Stegostoma tigrinum: one gene and its partner. The protein of the gene in region 1 interacts with the protein of each later gene in a pairwise test. Links are inferred from orthologs where the notes say so. Each region holds a gene or a part of one and is shown on either strand. Other genes may lie near its edges.

What was found.
Region 2: the proteins of double-stranded RNA-specific editase 1-like (region 1) and interferon-inducible double-stranded RNA-dependent protein kinase activator A homolog A-like interact in binary tests that used the Homo sapiens proteins (3 or more experiments, as listed by UniProt). The link is inferred for Stegostoma tigrinum from reciprocal best matches to the Homo sapiens genes ADARB1 and PRKRA.

Annotation. Positions count from the first base shown.
Region 1 is NC_081360.1:17,594,553-17,602,482, reverse strand, and holds the start of double-stranded RNA-specific editase 1-like, read left to right. Parts: upstream 1-4,888; 5' UTR 4,889-4,927; coding exon 4,928-5,009; intron 5,010-6,349; coding exon 6,350-6,394; intron 6,395-7,930. UniProt on the Homo sapiens protein: Catalyzes the hydrolytic deamination of adenosine to inosine in double-stranded RNA (dsRNA) referred to as A-to-I RNA editing.
Region 2 is NC_081360.1:44,503,075-44,510,561, reverse strand, and holds the start of interferon-inducible double-stranded RNA-dependent protein kinase activator A homolog A-like, read right to left. Parts: upstream 3,046-7,487; 5' UTR 3,031-3,045; coding exon 2,765-3,030; intron 1-2,764. UniProt on the Homo sapiens protein: Activates EIF2AK2/PKR in the absence of double-stranded RNA (dsRNA), leading to phosphorylation of EIF2S1/EFI2-alpha and inhibition of translation and induction of apoptosis.

The DNA of each region.
Region 1 (7,930 bases):
CAAAATGGCAGTATGTCAGCATTCAGGTGTCTGCTGGTTAAAGCATTTCAGTCTTTTGCTTGGTTGTGGTTTCAGCGCTATTCTTTTGTGGGAGGAGTGTTTGTTTTGTTTAATGTTAGATTCAAGTTGAACTTTGTAGCTTTAAGTTTATCACAGGGCTTTAATATTTAGAATACAAAGTATTGTTACCTTTGGCAGAGAAAAAAAAATCCTGAGAATTCAACATGTGCAACAAACAACCACTAATTTTTCTTTACAAAACATTTGTGCTAACAAAGTTTATCACTTCCTAATCTGCTTAGATTAGTCATCTTGGATTCTGTATGATGCTTGTCAGCAAATATTCTTTTCCTATCCCTTCTTGATATCGTTCATGAGATCCAGTTTGAAAGCGCATTGATAAAAATCTTATGTTCCTCGTGCAAAAATACTTTGTGAATTATGGTAGTTCGAGATGAAGACTTCATCATCCTCCCTTGATCTACTTTGGGAACGCGCATCTCATAAGATGATAGTTTGCACCGTGTTAGTTGACTCTGTTAAGCATTGCCCTAGTCTAACCCAGTGGCCCAATTCTGGCTTGTGCATTTGCTGCAGAGGAAGACAGTGGACTGAGAAAGTGCATGATTCAATGCCCTCTGTTTTTTCTGGACTCTCGTCTCAGCCAGCTGAGCTTGGTGTTTTTTTTAATTGTCTCAAGTGATGCCCTTCCAGTGAGCCTCCAGAGGGTCATGGCTGTCAGCAAGAGTCTCCCCATCATCGCTATGTGCTATCTTCATATTTCGATCGCCAGCAGGGATCTGAGATTTTTTTTCGGTACATCTTGGTAAGATTTTCTTCAGGACCACTTTTTGACTTTCAGGGCAACTTTTTTATTCTCACTCCTTTATTAGAAGATGTAACAACTTCTTTTTGTGTTGAGTTTATTTAAGGATTTTCTTCTTTAGACAGATAAACAAGCATAAGCACCAAAAATTAATATGCATGTCATACATTCCAAGTTCAAATATTTGAAAATTAAAAGGTTTTTAATTTATTGCAAATAAATCTTCCATATTGTGTTTTTATGCATTCACAGTATTAAATAGTTAAATGTATATCTTATGTAAGTATGATGCAGCATGAATTGTGATTTTACAGGAATTATTCCTGTCACTTGGAAAATTGTAGCAGCTTCCTGAAAACTTAGGTAAACATTGAATGTAGGTTGCTGACTATCATCGAGTGAAATAGTTTATAAGTCATCTACCTATTTGTCGTCTTTGCCTCAATAAATGAGAAATATTTAAGGTCTCAATGCTTTCCCATCACAAAAAGCTGTCTTGTATACATCCTAAGACATGTTGTGTTTTGCGTCCTCGTCTGTGAACAGTCGTTTGATTGCCTTGACAGTGCTGTTTTGAGTTACACGATGTGCCTACCCTTTAATTACTGGATAAACAGGCATTCTGATCTGCTGCCCTGCTCACTCTTCCCTATATACTCTCCTATTTCTTCTTAGCCTCCAGTCTCCAGCAGGTTGATACCCAGGATTTGCTCCTCCATCCACCTTGCTGCCAGTGCTTGGGTTCTGCTACTCTAGCTCATGACCAGCATTCTGGTTCTTTGTTCACACTTTCTATCTGGCCAATACGTGAGCTGTGTGCACTCCTAGCAGATTCTTAGGATGTTTGCAACTTATTCCCACCAGTGCCCATCTGACATTGTGCCCTGCTGTCTTCTCGCTGTACTCCTTGCACGCTGGTGGTTGACCCCACTGCTGTTAGTGCTCACCTTGTTGAATAATCTACTTCTCTGACCTTGTGAAATTCATATTCATAGATGCCTGGGACTGGCCGTGATAATTTGTTTTGCTCCCTCAATTGTGCGTTCCTTCCCTTCAAACTTTTTCCCATCACAAATTCCTGCAAAAGCAGGAAAAAAGGAATGCCTGATTGGAGCAGCTCTAGCACCCACTATGATTGGAGGAACTTTTCCTCACACATTCTGCCTCCATATAGGCTTGGCCATTGCTGTGATTGAACTTCTCTTCATTTTGGGAGGCTTTCAAGCACTATATTTGTCCAGTGGCCCCATGTATTTTCAGCACTGGCGTTTTTGTAACAAAGGTATAGATGCCCAGGAAGTTGTGACTTAATGACCGGTTTGCGATACAGGAATCTTTGGGTATGTGGCTGTCATCCATTTGATAAACATGGCTAACCAGTGTAGACACATTGGCTTTGCAATAAATGTATGCTGATGAAGTTGGCTTGCTCCAGCATCTCTAAGGTTGTGACCTGCCTCTGCATAGACGTCGTGGCGACAAATCAGCGATTGAACCAATACAGTGTGGAGCTGGAGGAACACAACAGGTCAGGTAGCATCAGAGGAACAGGAAAGTCAATGCTTCGGGTTTACGCCCTTTATCAGAAGTGATGGATGTCGACCCGAAGCATTGACTTCCCTGCTGCTGGAATGCTGCCTGACCTGCTGTATTCCTCCAGCTCCACACTGTATTGACTCTGACTCCAGCATCTGCCGTTCTTGCTACTATCGAGAATCTGAGACTGGAGATGGAAACTGTTCAGCTGCTTCCCCGCCCTTGAATGAGCAGTAAATGCTTTGTTTGTGGTGTCTCTGTCCTAAGAATGAATTTATGAGATGAAAACAAAGCAGACTTCAGCAAAAAACAGCTGCTTGTATAATTTTTTTGACACTGAATGATTAATTTCCTACCATAACTATTTAAGTATCATTAAATAAGCAACATTGTGAGTTTTTAGATTTATTGTGTGAAGTAATTAGAATATTTGTAGCAATGCGGTATCTAATTCATCATCCTTATGATGGCGCATGGCTTGTGTTACTGCTGGTGGTTTTACCTGATCGATCATACTTTGGAGATAATTTGGGGTATTTCTCTGAGTCCCTTTACCTTGTGCTGAATATATTTACATGTTTTAGAAGCTGTGGAATCAGATTGTCCAGTTGTCACAGCTGACTCAATGTTGGGTGTGGTATCTTGTAATTTAAATCATGCTCTTACATGTCTTTATGATCTCTGCTTGTCTATGTGAAATCTGTTGAATAATATCGAATTCTTCTTGTTCTGTGTTAGTGAGTAGAAGTTTGCACTTTCCCATGGGATGAGTCTGCAGTGGGCGTTATTCCTAAGCTCATCTGCACCATCTTGTGATTATTCTGAAAAATGACCTTGTGCTAAGTTATCTTTTAACTTGATACTGGGAAATATTTCTGCAGATGGTTGTCTGAATAATTATTCAATGATGGTGTCTCTTTGTCTCAGTTATTTGCAGATTCAAATGTTCTGGTCAGCATCTTGCAGAATTATTTTTGTGTATTTCAGATGATGATGCTGTCTTATAGCATGAAGAAACTGTTGCTCCCAGCTTTATTATTCTGTCAGTATCCCAGTTTTGTCAGCATACTTTCTGATTTTCAAGTCCTGAATTTTTTTTCCAACGTTGAGACTTGTTCAAATACATTACTGCTAATGTATACAACAGAGCCACTCCCTGCTTGAAGAGGTGACCAATTTGCAGGTGGCTCAGTAAATATGAAGAATTTCTTAGGAGATTCAGATACAAAACATTGCAGTTTTCTGAATGATTTGTGAAGAAATGTCACAGGACTCGAACTTTAGCTCTCTTCCTCTCTCCACGTATGCTGCCAGACCTCCTTAAGTTTCTCCAAGACATACTTGAAGCCTGTTTGATGTTCCTACCAACTGATGCAGTATTTCCTCTCCATAGGTTTGTACATAGGTATCATGTCTAGACAATTTATTCATCTACTTCCCCCAGACCCATTCTTCCCATCTTTTTTCCTTTATCACTGAGTACTCAACGAGGTATCCCGGTGATGATTTATGAATAAAGTACACATGGAACGTTACAGAATGAAAAATCATTGCTCCATACATTTTATGTGTCTTGTAATGTATATTATTTGTAATAATTTGGAAGTAGAACAAGTAATAATCAGGAGCAATAACATGATGATGGCTGCATTTCAGAACTATTTCATTAGCAACAAAAGCGTTGGTTCATCTTGAGTTTGTGGAATCCATGAATACATACATTTGGTTAGAAATAAAGAAATGATATCTCCTTAGAAAGTTGCAGTTTGTTTGTGACAGCTTCAGTTTGATGCAGCAGTTTCACTTTGCGGCGATTATGCAATGGTAGTCTGAAAACAGCCAAACTTCAAAGTATGAGTCTGTGTTGATTACAGTTGTGTTTCTCTAGACTTTACTAGTGTTTGTGAAGATATATTTCAAAGAAATACAGACGTCATTCTTGAAGGTTCACCTCCGTGTGTATTAGGTTATATTACGTCGGGTGTTATCTTTGGTCACCAGGATCGACCAGAGGAGAATAAAGTCTTGACGTCTGGCTAGACCATGTGATAGATGGTTGAACCAGTTGTGCAACAGACACATGTATTGTTATCACTCAAGAACTCCTTTGGCCTAGCGTTTCAGATTCCTTTCAGCACTTTGAAGCTTTCTTCTTAGGTCCCTTGTGTGAGTGCAAGACAATAATTCCCCCTTTTTTTTCTCTGCATCAAATGCCTATGTCTGTGCTTGCTTTTGTTTGACGCAGTCCTGATTAGATTAATGGGGCTGTCATAAACTTTAGTACTTGAACTTATTGCTTCTTTGTTGTTTCTATCTGCAAAACTGCCAAGGCTAAACGTTCTTGTTTTCCTGTTATTCAGGAAACTTCATTGTCATGAGAGCAGTTCTGTTGAGGGAGATTATCAGATTTCAAGCATTTAGCATTTTCCAGTTTACTGCTTTCAATGATCAGCAAAACATCCCCTCCCGCACTGAATATTTAAGTGAGGAACATTGAACCTGACGTAGCATTTTTTTTGATGAGAATGGAACATTGTTGCTTGTCAGTGTTACAATGGAATCTGTATGGGAAATCACCTTCTGAGAGGTTGTAGACTTGTTTGCCAAGTCAGTGTGTTTGATTGCAGACATTTTGACTCCGTGCAAGGTAACATCATCAGTGTACCTACGGTGTAGTGTTCTTCTGTCCCACTTGTTATTTATATGCCTTTGTTGGGGTGATTGACATTACTTCTGGTTCTATTTTTCAGTAATTTTGTATATTGGGTCCAGTTCAGTGTGTTTGTTGCTGGACTACTGGTTGGAATGCCAGGCCTCCAGGAATTCCCTGGCATATCTCTATTTGGCTTGTGCTATTACGGATGTTTTGTCCCAGTCAAATTCATGTCCTTCTTTGTTGGTGTGTCTTGAGACGAGTGAGAATTTGTCGTGTCTCTTGGTGACTTGTTGGTGTACCCTTATTGTCAGTTGTCTCCCGGTTTGGCCGACGTAATGTTTCTCACAGTCTCTGCATGGTATTTTGTATGTTATGTTAGTTTTATTGGTTGTGCGTCTGGGATCCTTTATGTTCATATGTAGCTGTTGCAGGGTGGTTGTTGGTTTGTGGGCTACCCTGATACCTAGGGGTCTGAGTAGTCTTGTGATCATCTCTGACATGTCGCTGATGTACGGTAGGGTGACTAATGTGTCTGGCCATGTCATGTCTTCTCATTGTGGTCTGTCACAGATGTAATGGTGAATTGTGCTTTTTGGGCATCTGTTCCTTTTAAAAACTCTGTATAAGTGCTCTGGTCTGCTTTGCGCAATTCTGTGAATAATGTTCTTATGCAGCTCTGTTGATGGATGTTGGGCTGGTTTCTGGCATTGCACTACGCAGTCTTCAGAATGAAGATGATGATCTTGACCATTATTCTGATTACACTTAATTCATCAATTCCTGCTCTGTTGGTTCATCAGCACTTGCATGTGCGTATATGTGCACTTCTTCACCTGTTGCCTTCAGCTCTGGAACTTGCTGTTTAAAATTCCTTCTCTCCATCTCTCTTGGCTCCTTTTAAACGACCTGTTGGCCATCTACCCTTATATTGCCTTATGTTATTCAGTGTTAATTTTGCTCTATAATAATTTTGTGTAGTGCTTTGAGACTTCAAGTTAGGATAAAAATTTGTGTCCTTGGGCTTATTGTGCATTAAAAAGAAGAATTTGGTTGTGTATAGGTTTCATCAAGACAAACTTCACTCTGCTCATTGAACATAGCTGTTGCTTGCTTCAATGGATTTGTCGAGTATTTTTCCTGTAGATTGTGACCAGTTTTCATTTTTAAAATTTTGGAATTGATGTAGCATACTCTTGAAAATAAATTCAGCTCCTTATAGTTAGTGTTTTCCCTCCTTAATTTAAACTTGAAGTATTCTTATTCTTCAAATATGTGTCAGTAATTATGTTGTTAGGCCATATTAATGACACAGCTGTTCTCTTTGTCTGCAGATCCTTGCACTCAAGATATCTTTGGAAAGAAAAGGGACCAAGCAGGTATCTCAATAATTAACACTTCACTTCCGAACTGTCAGCTGAAAAGTGTCTTCTCGATTGGTACCAGAGGGATTGTGTATTAGTGTAAAGTAATGGCTCTTGATCCTTTTGGATTGTTCTGTTTCAGTATTTGATTTTTGTTCTTTATGACACAGTATTCTATTATTTAGTTATGTTGACAATGTCGTAGATCCTCATTTCCTTTGGAATCTGTGAGTGGAATCCTGTGCAGTCACTAATCCTGAATAATTATTTTAAATAAGTCATTATAAGAAACACCAAGGTATCAGAATGTGATATATTCAGCTTGCATTTTTAAAACTGATAGAATTGAAATAGCATCTCACCAAACTAACTTGTGAACAATACATGTCATGACCTTGAATCGTATAGTGTACTGGAAATAAAGCTGCACTATTCATCAGGTGTGAAATAGGAGGACTGTAATCTTCACAATGGTTAACACCTGACTGTAACTACAATGTAAGATTAAAGAAATTCACACCAGGTTTCAACAATGAAAAAGAAACAAACATACCTTATAAGTTGTGGCAAAACCAACTATATATCTAAACTATACCCGTTTAAATCTAAGCATACTCGTTCATTCACATGTGTAATGGACAAAACAGACGAGATCTACCGAATTTTCTTTCAGGAATGTCATTGATACCAAGTATAGATCAAAAAGCAGCACCAACTCTGTCAATCAGAGTCCAAACTACGAAAGGAAATGAGGTAACTGGCTCTCAGTTCTTTTTTGGCGATGGTATCACATTGTTGTCAATGTGGCAGTCTTCAGTTCTGCAGCAGGTGATTTGGACCTCTGTCTTGCTGTAATTTAGCAGTTCTTCTTTGAAATTTTTTGTGGATTATTTGTTTTTTAATCACAGAGCGAACTTGCCGTATGCCTTAAGTCCCAACAGCTCTTTCTTTCCTCTTAATTCTGTGACAAACTGTACTAAAACCATTCCATGTGCTATTGCAGGCACTTACTTCTTCCCTTAAAGCCACCTGATGTCAGTGTGTCTGGCAAAAGTATCAAATGCAACTTCTTAAAAAAAAATTATGTTGATCGAATTGTGAATCAAAACAACTAATTTACAAAATAATCAAGTGTGAAGCTGGATGAACACAGCAGGCCCAGCAGCATCTCAGGAGCACAAAAGCTGACGTTTCGTTCCTAAGTAAGGGTCTAGGCCCGAAACGTCAGCTTTTGTGCTCCTGAGATGCTGCTGGGCCTGCTGTGTTCATTCAGCTTCACACTTTATTATCTTCGGATTCTCCAGCATCTGCAGTTCCCATTATCAATAATTTACAAACCTCTGTTTCCCGGTTTATGTTTCCAAACAAAATATGAGTGGCCCTTACAGTGGTCTGATCAGGAATGTTGATGTTCATCACGTAAAGGGGAGATAATGATGAAAAGGTATCTTCACCCTGAAGGTGCCATTTAGAACTGTTTCACATGTAAAACAGAAAAGGTGATGATTAATTTCGGGGGCTTGCAGGAAATTATCAGAATTTGATACCAGG
Region 2 (7,487 bases), about 27 Mb from region 1:
ATCCTGTTGTCTAAGGCTTTCCTCCTACTTTCCGCCCAACTAATTTGTATATTATCTGTAAACTTATTATTAACAACTAATGTCCACGTCTAGATCAATAATACACACCACAAACAGCAAGGGACCCCACACCAAACCCTATCAATCATAAAAACATCCTGCAGCCACCACCCTCTGCTTCCTGCCACTCAGTCAGTTTTAAATCCAATTTGCCAAACTGCCCCGAATCCCATGGGCTCTAAACTTCTTAAACAGACTGTCAGGTAAGATCTTGTCAGGAGCATTAGTGAAGCCGATGTAGATTTCATTAAGTACACTTGCACATTTAGTCACCGACTAGAAAAAAAATCAATTAAATTTGTTAGACATGCCTCTCCATACAGAGAAAATTTCCAAAAATTTCCCTATCACAGATGGTAGACTTCATGGCCTGCAGCTTCCTGGTTTATCCCTACCAGCCATCCTGAATAATGTTAGCCACCCTTCAATCTGGCAATCCCTCCTGTGGCCACAGAGTATTTGAAAATTAATGGCAGAACCCCTTCAGTCTCCTCCATTACTTTTCAAAGGAGTCTGTGCTGCATCTCATCTGGGCGCGATGTGGGTTTCATCCCTTTGAAGCCCACTAAAACCTCCTCCCTCAAATGATAATCCATTCAAATATATCCCAGTCCCCATCCCAATTTCTATTTCTGCTTCATCTTTCTCTATAATGAATATAAATGAAAAACACCCGTTTAAAACTTCACCACCAAAAACAGTTTTCCCTCCCCACCCTTACCTGCTTTCCAGAGGGACCACTCTCTCCGTGACTCCTTCGTCTACTCCACACTCCCCACCACCTTTCCCTGCAACTGCAGGAGCTGCTACACCTGCCCCTACATCTCCCGCCCTCACCTCCATCACAGGCCTCAAGAAGGCCTTCCACATCAAACAGATATTCACATGCACATCTGCTAAATGTGGTATACTGTATCCACTGTTCCCAATGTAGCCTCCTCTACATCAGGGAAACCAAGCGGAAGCTTGGGTACTGCTCTGTGGAACACCTATGCTTGGTTCACGTCAAACATCTGCACCTCCCACTCGTGAACCATTTCAACTCCCCCTTCCTTAGGCGACATGTCCATCCTGGGCCTCCTGGAGTGCCACAACGATGCCACCCGAAGCTTGCAGGAACATCATCTCATTTCACTTGGCAACCCTGTTGCCCAATGGTATCAACGTGGACTTCACAAGCTTCAAAATCTCCTCTCCCCCTACTGCATCCCAAAACCAGCCCAGCTCATCCCCGCCTTCCTTCCTCCCACCTATCCACTCCTCCCACTTCAAGCCTCACCCCATCACCCACCTCCCAGCCTCATCCCACCTCCTTGACCTGTCCATCCTCCCTGGACTGACCTATGCCCTTCCTAACTCCCCACCTACACTCAACTTTACCAGCTCCAACCCTGTCCATCTCCTCTCCACCTATCTTCACCTCTATCCACCTCCCTCCCCCTCCCTATTTATTTCAGAATCCTCTTCCCTTCCCCCATTTCTGAAGAAGTGTCTAGACCCAAAAGGTCAGCTTTCCTGCTCCTCGGATGCTGCTTGGCCTGTGGTGTTCACCCAGCTCTATACCTTGTTAGATCATTTAAAACTTCAGCCATATCTACCAACTCCCCACACAGATTGCCTGTCAGTGTCCGGGATTCTCTGGACTTGCTGCTCCCACCTTTTACATTTACAGGCAAAAGATGGCCACGCACTCTCACGCTACTCTTTTGAATGGCTCCTACCACTCTAATGTGCATTTTCCCACAAGTGGCTGCTCCCAGTCTACTTTGGACAGATGCTATTATTAAAATTCACCTTCCCACAAATCAGAACCTTTATTTCCAACATCCTTGACTCTATTCATTATTACCTCAAGTCTTACCAAATTATGGTAATCATCACTGGAATATTCCAACTGATACATCCATCACTTTCTTGCTTCATTCCCTAAACTTAAGTCAGGGGTAGCACTTGCAGCACTTTGTGTGCGCTAGCTTAAAAAGTTCTCAACAGTACATTATAAGAATTTCAAGACTTTCACACTTTCTATCCCAGCTAACCTTGGAGAAGTTGAAATCCCCTACTATATTTACTCTAGCATTCATGACACAGCTGAGATTGCCCCCGTGTATGTCTTTCTATCCCTACCTGACACTGTTTTGTTTGGGGGGGGGGGGCAGGGGCTATGGTATACCACCATTTTGTTTTTTTTAAATTCTACCCATATGGTTTTGATTGAGGAACTTTCTAAGATAGCATCCCTTCTTACTGCTGTAATTCACTCCTTGACCAGCAGTGAATCCCACCACCTCCCTGTCACACCCTAAGTTTCTGCACTCGAGCACATCGAGGCTACAGACCTGTCCCTGCCTGAACAGTGTTCCTTTGAGAGCAATGATATTGCATCCCCCATGTGTCAGTTAGCACACCATCAACTCATCTCCCTTAAGCGCAAGACGCCGTGCATTAAAATGAATGCCATTCCTGACTCTCCGCGCTCCCTGGTGGCTGGACTATATTTGGAAGCAACCAAAGCAAAAGCTTCGTCCTCCAGCGATATCAGAGAGGGTGGGTGGGTGCCCCTGATTGTGGGTTTTGAGACTTGCAGCTTGTAGGCAGGATGACGGGTAGTGAGGGTGTGCACGCACACTGTTCCCTGCGCTCCCGCAGTCAGAGGCCGTGCACACCCCGCCGCCGCTGCCTCTGCCGCCCCTCGATCGCTCACCTGGCGCATCCAGAGCTCCTTTTGGACGCGGCTGTAAACCTTTCCTCGGACATGTCGGTCCCGGCGGAGTAGGATTGTAGCCGCGCGGAAAAGGCGCTCTGCTCCCCCCGAGTTTGGACGCAAACCCGCTGCCAGTCCCGGTCCACGCTCAAGCCACTTCCGGCGGAAGGCGGCCGTTTAGCCGCAGTGCACGCTGGGAATTGTAGTTTTCGACCCCCCAATCTGGCGTTTCTAAAGACGTCATCGAGCGCGATATCTCTCGTCATCCCCGGCAAGTTTCCGTGGTGTAACAATTTCTCGTAAAGCTCAACCAGCACGTGGTGGTGGAGTTCCCGGTTTCCTCAGCATTAGCCATTTGTGACTACATGAGTGAGACGTGTCGACAGCACCAACAAGAGAAAATCATAAATTGCGCTTTATTATCATTTATCTGCCCTGACGTTAGAAACAGATAAGATTGAGTGGTGGAGCATGCTTTAGCAGCCAAAAACCTATTGCTGATTTTATGTTGGGGTAGTGCAGGAAGGTGGAGTTAAGACAGGGAATCAGCCACTACCATATTGATAGCAAGTTCAGATGGAGCTGTCTGATGAAGGGTCTAGGACTGAAACGTCAGCTTTTGTGCTCCTAAGATGCTGTTTGGCCTGCTGTGTTCATCCAGCTTCACATTTTGTTATCTCCCATTTCTTCTTAGGTTATTTTTAGCAACCTTAGAAATGTTTGCAGTTTCCTTTGTGGTCCAGTGGTTCCAATTCGATGCTTGTGTGGCCTGGGTACGTTTCCTGCTCAGACAATGACAGTTTATTGATAGGGACATCTTGCTTCCATTTTCATTTTTCAGTCTTTCTGTTTTGGAACTTGTGATGCTGAAATCGTTTCAGTTTGAAGACTGGATGAACACAGCAGGCCAAGGAGCATCACGACTGCTCCCTTGATGCTGCTTGGCCTGCTGTGTTCATCCAGCTCCACACTTTGTTATAAGATAATAAAATGTGAGCTTGGATGAACACAGCAGGCCCAGCAGCATCTCAGGAGCACAAAAGCTGACGTTTTGGGTCTAGACTCTTCATCAGAGAGGGGGATGGGGTGAGGGTTCTGGAATAAATAGGGAGCGAGGGGGAGGCAGACTAAAGATGGAGAGGAAAGAAGCTAGGTGGAGAGGAGAGTATGGGTGGGGAGGTGGGGAGGGGATAGGTCAGTCCAGGGAAGACAGACAGGTCAAGGAGGTGGGATGAGGTTAGTAGCTAGGAGATGGAGGTGCGGCTTGGGGTGGGAGGAAGGGATGGGTGAGAGGAAGAACAGCTTAGGGAGACAGACACAGGCTGGACTGGTTTTGGGATGCAGTGGGTGGAGGGGAAGAGCTGGGCTGGTTGTATGGTGCAGTGGGGGGAGGGGACGAACTGGGCTGGTTTTGGGATGCGGTGGGGGAAGGGGAGATTTTGAAACTGGTGAAGTTCACATTGATACCATTGGGCTGCAGGGTTCCCAAGCAGAATATGAGTTGCTGTTCCTGCAACCTTCGGCTGGCATCATTGTGGCATTGCAGGAGGCCCATGATGGACATGTCATCTAAAGAATGGGAGGGGGAGTGGAAATGGTTTGCGACTGGGAGGTGCAGTTGTTTATTGCGAACCAAGCGGAGGTGTTCTGCAAAGCGGTCCCCAACCCTCCGCTTGGTTTCCCACCCATTCTTTAGATGACATGTCCATCCTGGGCCTCCTGCAGTGCCACAATGATGCCACCCGAAGGTTGCAGGAACAGCAACTCATATTCCACTTGGGAACCCTGCAGCCCAATGGTATCAGTGTGGACTTCACCAGCTTCAAAATCTCCCCTTCCCCCACCGCATCCCAAAACCAGCCCAGTTTGTTCCCCCACTGTACCACACAACCAGCCCAGCTCTTCCCCTCCACCCACTGCATCCCAAAACCAGTCCAGCCTGTCTCTGCTTCCCTAACCTGTTCTTCCTCTCACCCATCCCTTCCTCCCACCCCAAGCCGCACCTCCATCTCCTACCTACTAACCTCATTCCACCTCCTTGACCTGTCTGTCTTCCCTGGACTGACCTATCCCCTCCCTACCTCCCCACCTATACTCTCCTCTCCACCTATCTTCTTTTCTCCATCTTCGGTCCGCCTCCCCCTCTCTCCCTATTTATTCCAGAACCCTCACCCCATCCCCCTCTCTGATGAAGGGTCTAGGCCTGAAACATCAGCTTTTGTGCTCCTGAGATGCTGTTGGGCCTGCTGTGTTCATCCAGCCTCACATTTTATTATCTTGGATTCTCCAGCATCTGCAGTTCCCATTATCTCAGCTTGAAGACTGTTGCCTTTATTTTGTATAGTGAGCATATTGTTGCATATTTTTAAATCATGGACTGCTGTTCTTCCTACTTTCCAAGGAAACCTTAAATAAAACATTTAAACAGAGCTCTTGGGTCTTTTTTGATCTGATGATCCATCTGCTTACAGGTTTCCCCCACGGTGAAACCTTCCGAAGTGGTTGAAACAATTAGTACACCCTCATGAAAGACGCAAACTGTGTATTGAAGATCAACCAGTGACCTTTGTGTAAATTGCCTGCTCATCTTTGGACATGGAGGGATGCAGTAAGCCGAGGTATATTGCTGCCTCTTCCTCCACCTGTTCTCTGCCAGGTATGGGGGAGTTACATCGGACTGTTTTATATATAGGTTTCACACCTTTATTGCATATCCTCTTAACAGTTTATGTGTTAGACAACATAGAGTCATTGTAGTGTGGAAACAGGCCATTTTGGCCAAATGAGTCCACACCAACCGTCCGAAGAGCATCCCACACAGACCCAACCCTTCCCGCCAACTCTCCCCCCCCACCCCGACCCTATCTCTGTAACCCTGCATTTCCCATGACTAATCCACCTAGCCTGCAGATATGGCAGGCTCAATCTCGTGACACAAGACACATAAACTTTGGTGTAAAAATGACTTGCTTCTCCCCCCTTAAATGTAAACCAGTATAATTGTGCAGTTGGTGTTGTGAGCATTGATAGTCTATCTGGGAAGAAATAGGGGCCTCCCCCTCTCTCCGTATTTATTTCAGAGCCCCCTTCCTTTCCCCCCATTTCTGATGAAGGGTCTAGGCCCGAAACATCAGCTTTCCTGCCTCTCTGATGCTGCTTGGCCTGCTGTGTTCATCCGGCTCTACAACTTATTATCTCAGATTCTCCAGCATCTGCAGTGCCTATCATCTCTGAAACCATTTTGACTTTACTGGGCATGTTGGTTTTAATTCTGGGCTCCATGCTTTAGGAGGATGCCATTGGCTGGAGAGAGAATTCAGACGAGATTCACTGATGTTTCCCCAATTAATGAATTCCTTTATTTGCAAAGACTTGACCTGGGATATTGTTCAAAGTTACAACCAATTTAGAAAGAATAAACAGAGAGAAATAGGTTTCCTATGGTAAAACCACAGATGAATCAGGGACATATATTTCAGAAGATCAATAAAAGAGTTTGTCACTTAGCCAGTGCAGCTCCTTTACCAAGTAAGTGCCTATCTTAAAGAGCTATGACCATTCGATAGGTGATCCTCCCTTTTGGGGTGGAAGAACATTTACAAGCATCATGCAATGCTTGTTAGCACTGAGCCTTCTCCAGACTAAGAATCTGTTGTGTACTTTTTGTTCGCAACACTGGTCATTGCCTGCAAGAGTGATGGGTATGGCCACAGGAGACGTACTCATCACGGTGCTCAGAAGACAAAGGCAGATAGGGGGTAAGCCAAAGTCACAGCAAGCCCAGAGGTGACAGCAAGCAACTATGGCAGCAAAGAGCCTTCAGCAGAGGAAGAGGTCATAGCTGAAGGGCCCCACAGGGACACAGGAGAGCTAGAGACTTTCGTCCTTAAATCCAATTTCTCAGGATGAATGAGGCACAGTGTCAGCGCAGACTCTGTACTTTCCTTGAACACTGAGGTTGAACTGTGCCACCTGCTGAGTCAGGACCTAAAGGAGTGAGGACAATGTTCTCTTGGTGGATGTGAAGGTGACAGCTACGATTAACTTCTATGTGCCTGGATCCTTCCAAGGAACCACTGGGGACCTGTGTTGGATCGCTCAGTTTTCCAGTGATCGAAGCCATCTGTCCCTCAACACCCTGGTTCATTTCATTTCCCTGTGACAAAGTCTCGGCAATGGGCTTCAGCAGCATGGCTGGCTTCCCCCAGTCACAGGGCTCTATCAACTGCACATACATCACACTGAAAAAGCCATAGTACATCAGTGCAGCAGAGTACCTCAATAGGAAAGGGTTCCATTCCACCAAGGTGACCACTGTTACCACTTCCTGGTGATGTGTGCCCACTGCCCTGCAGATAAAATAGAATAGAATAGAAATTTATGGTCACATGTACTTTTACATGAAAAATACAGTAAAAAATGTTTTAGGTCGTGACATCATGGCACCTATATTAATGACTGAAGTCATACTTAATAATTAAAAAATGTAAAATTAGGACACAGCTCGTCACAGTTCAGTTAACAGTTCTGGGGGTCAGAGAAAGCTGATTAAGGAACAATGGGATACCATGAAGACACAAACAGGATAAGACTGCCACACCAGGACGTGACTGCCGTGCTGGGCCGCTGGAAGCCAACTCATCACTGGGCCAGGAGAAGCCTCCTGTTCCACTTCTGATGCTTCTCCACACATTGCCACCAATTTGCCATCTGTCCCTTTCAC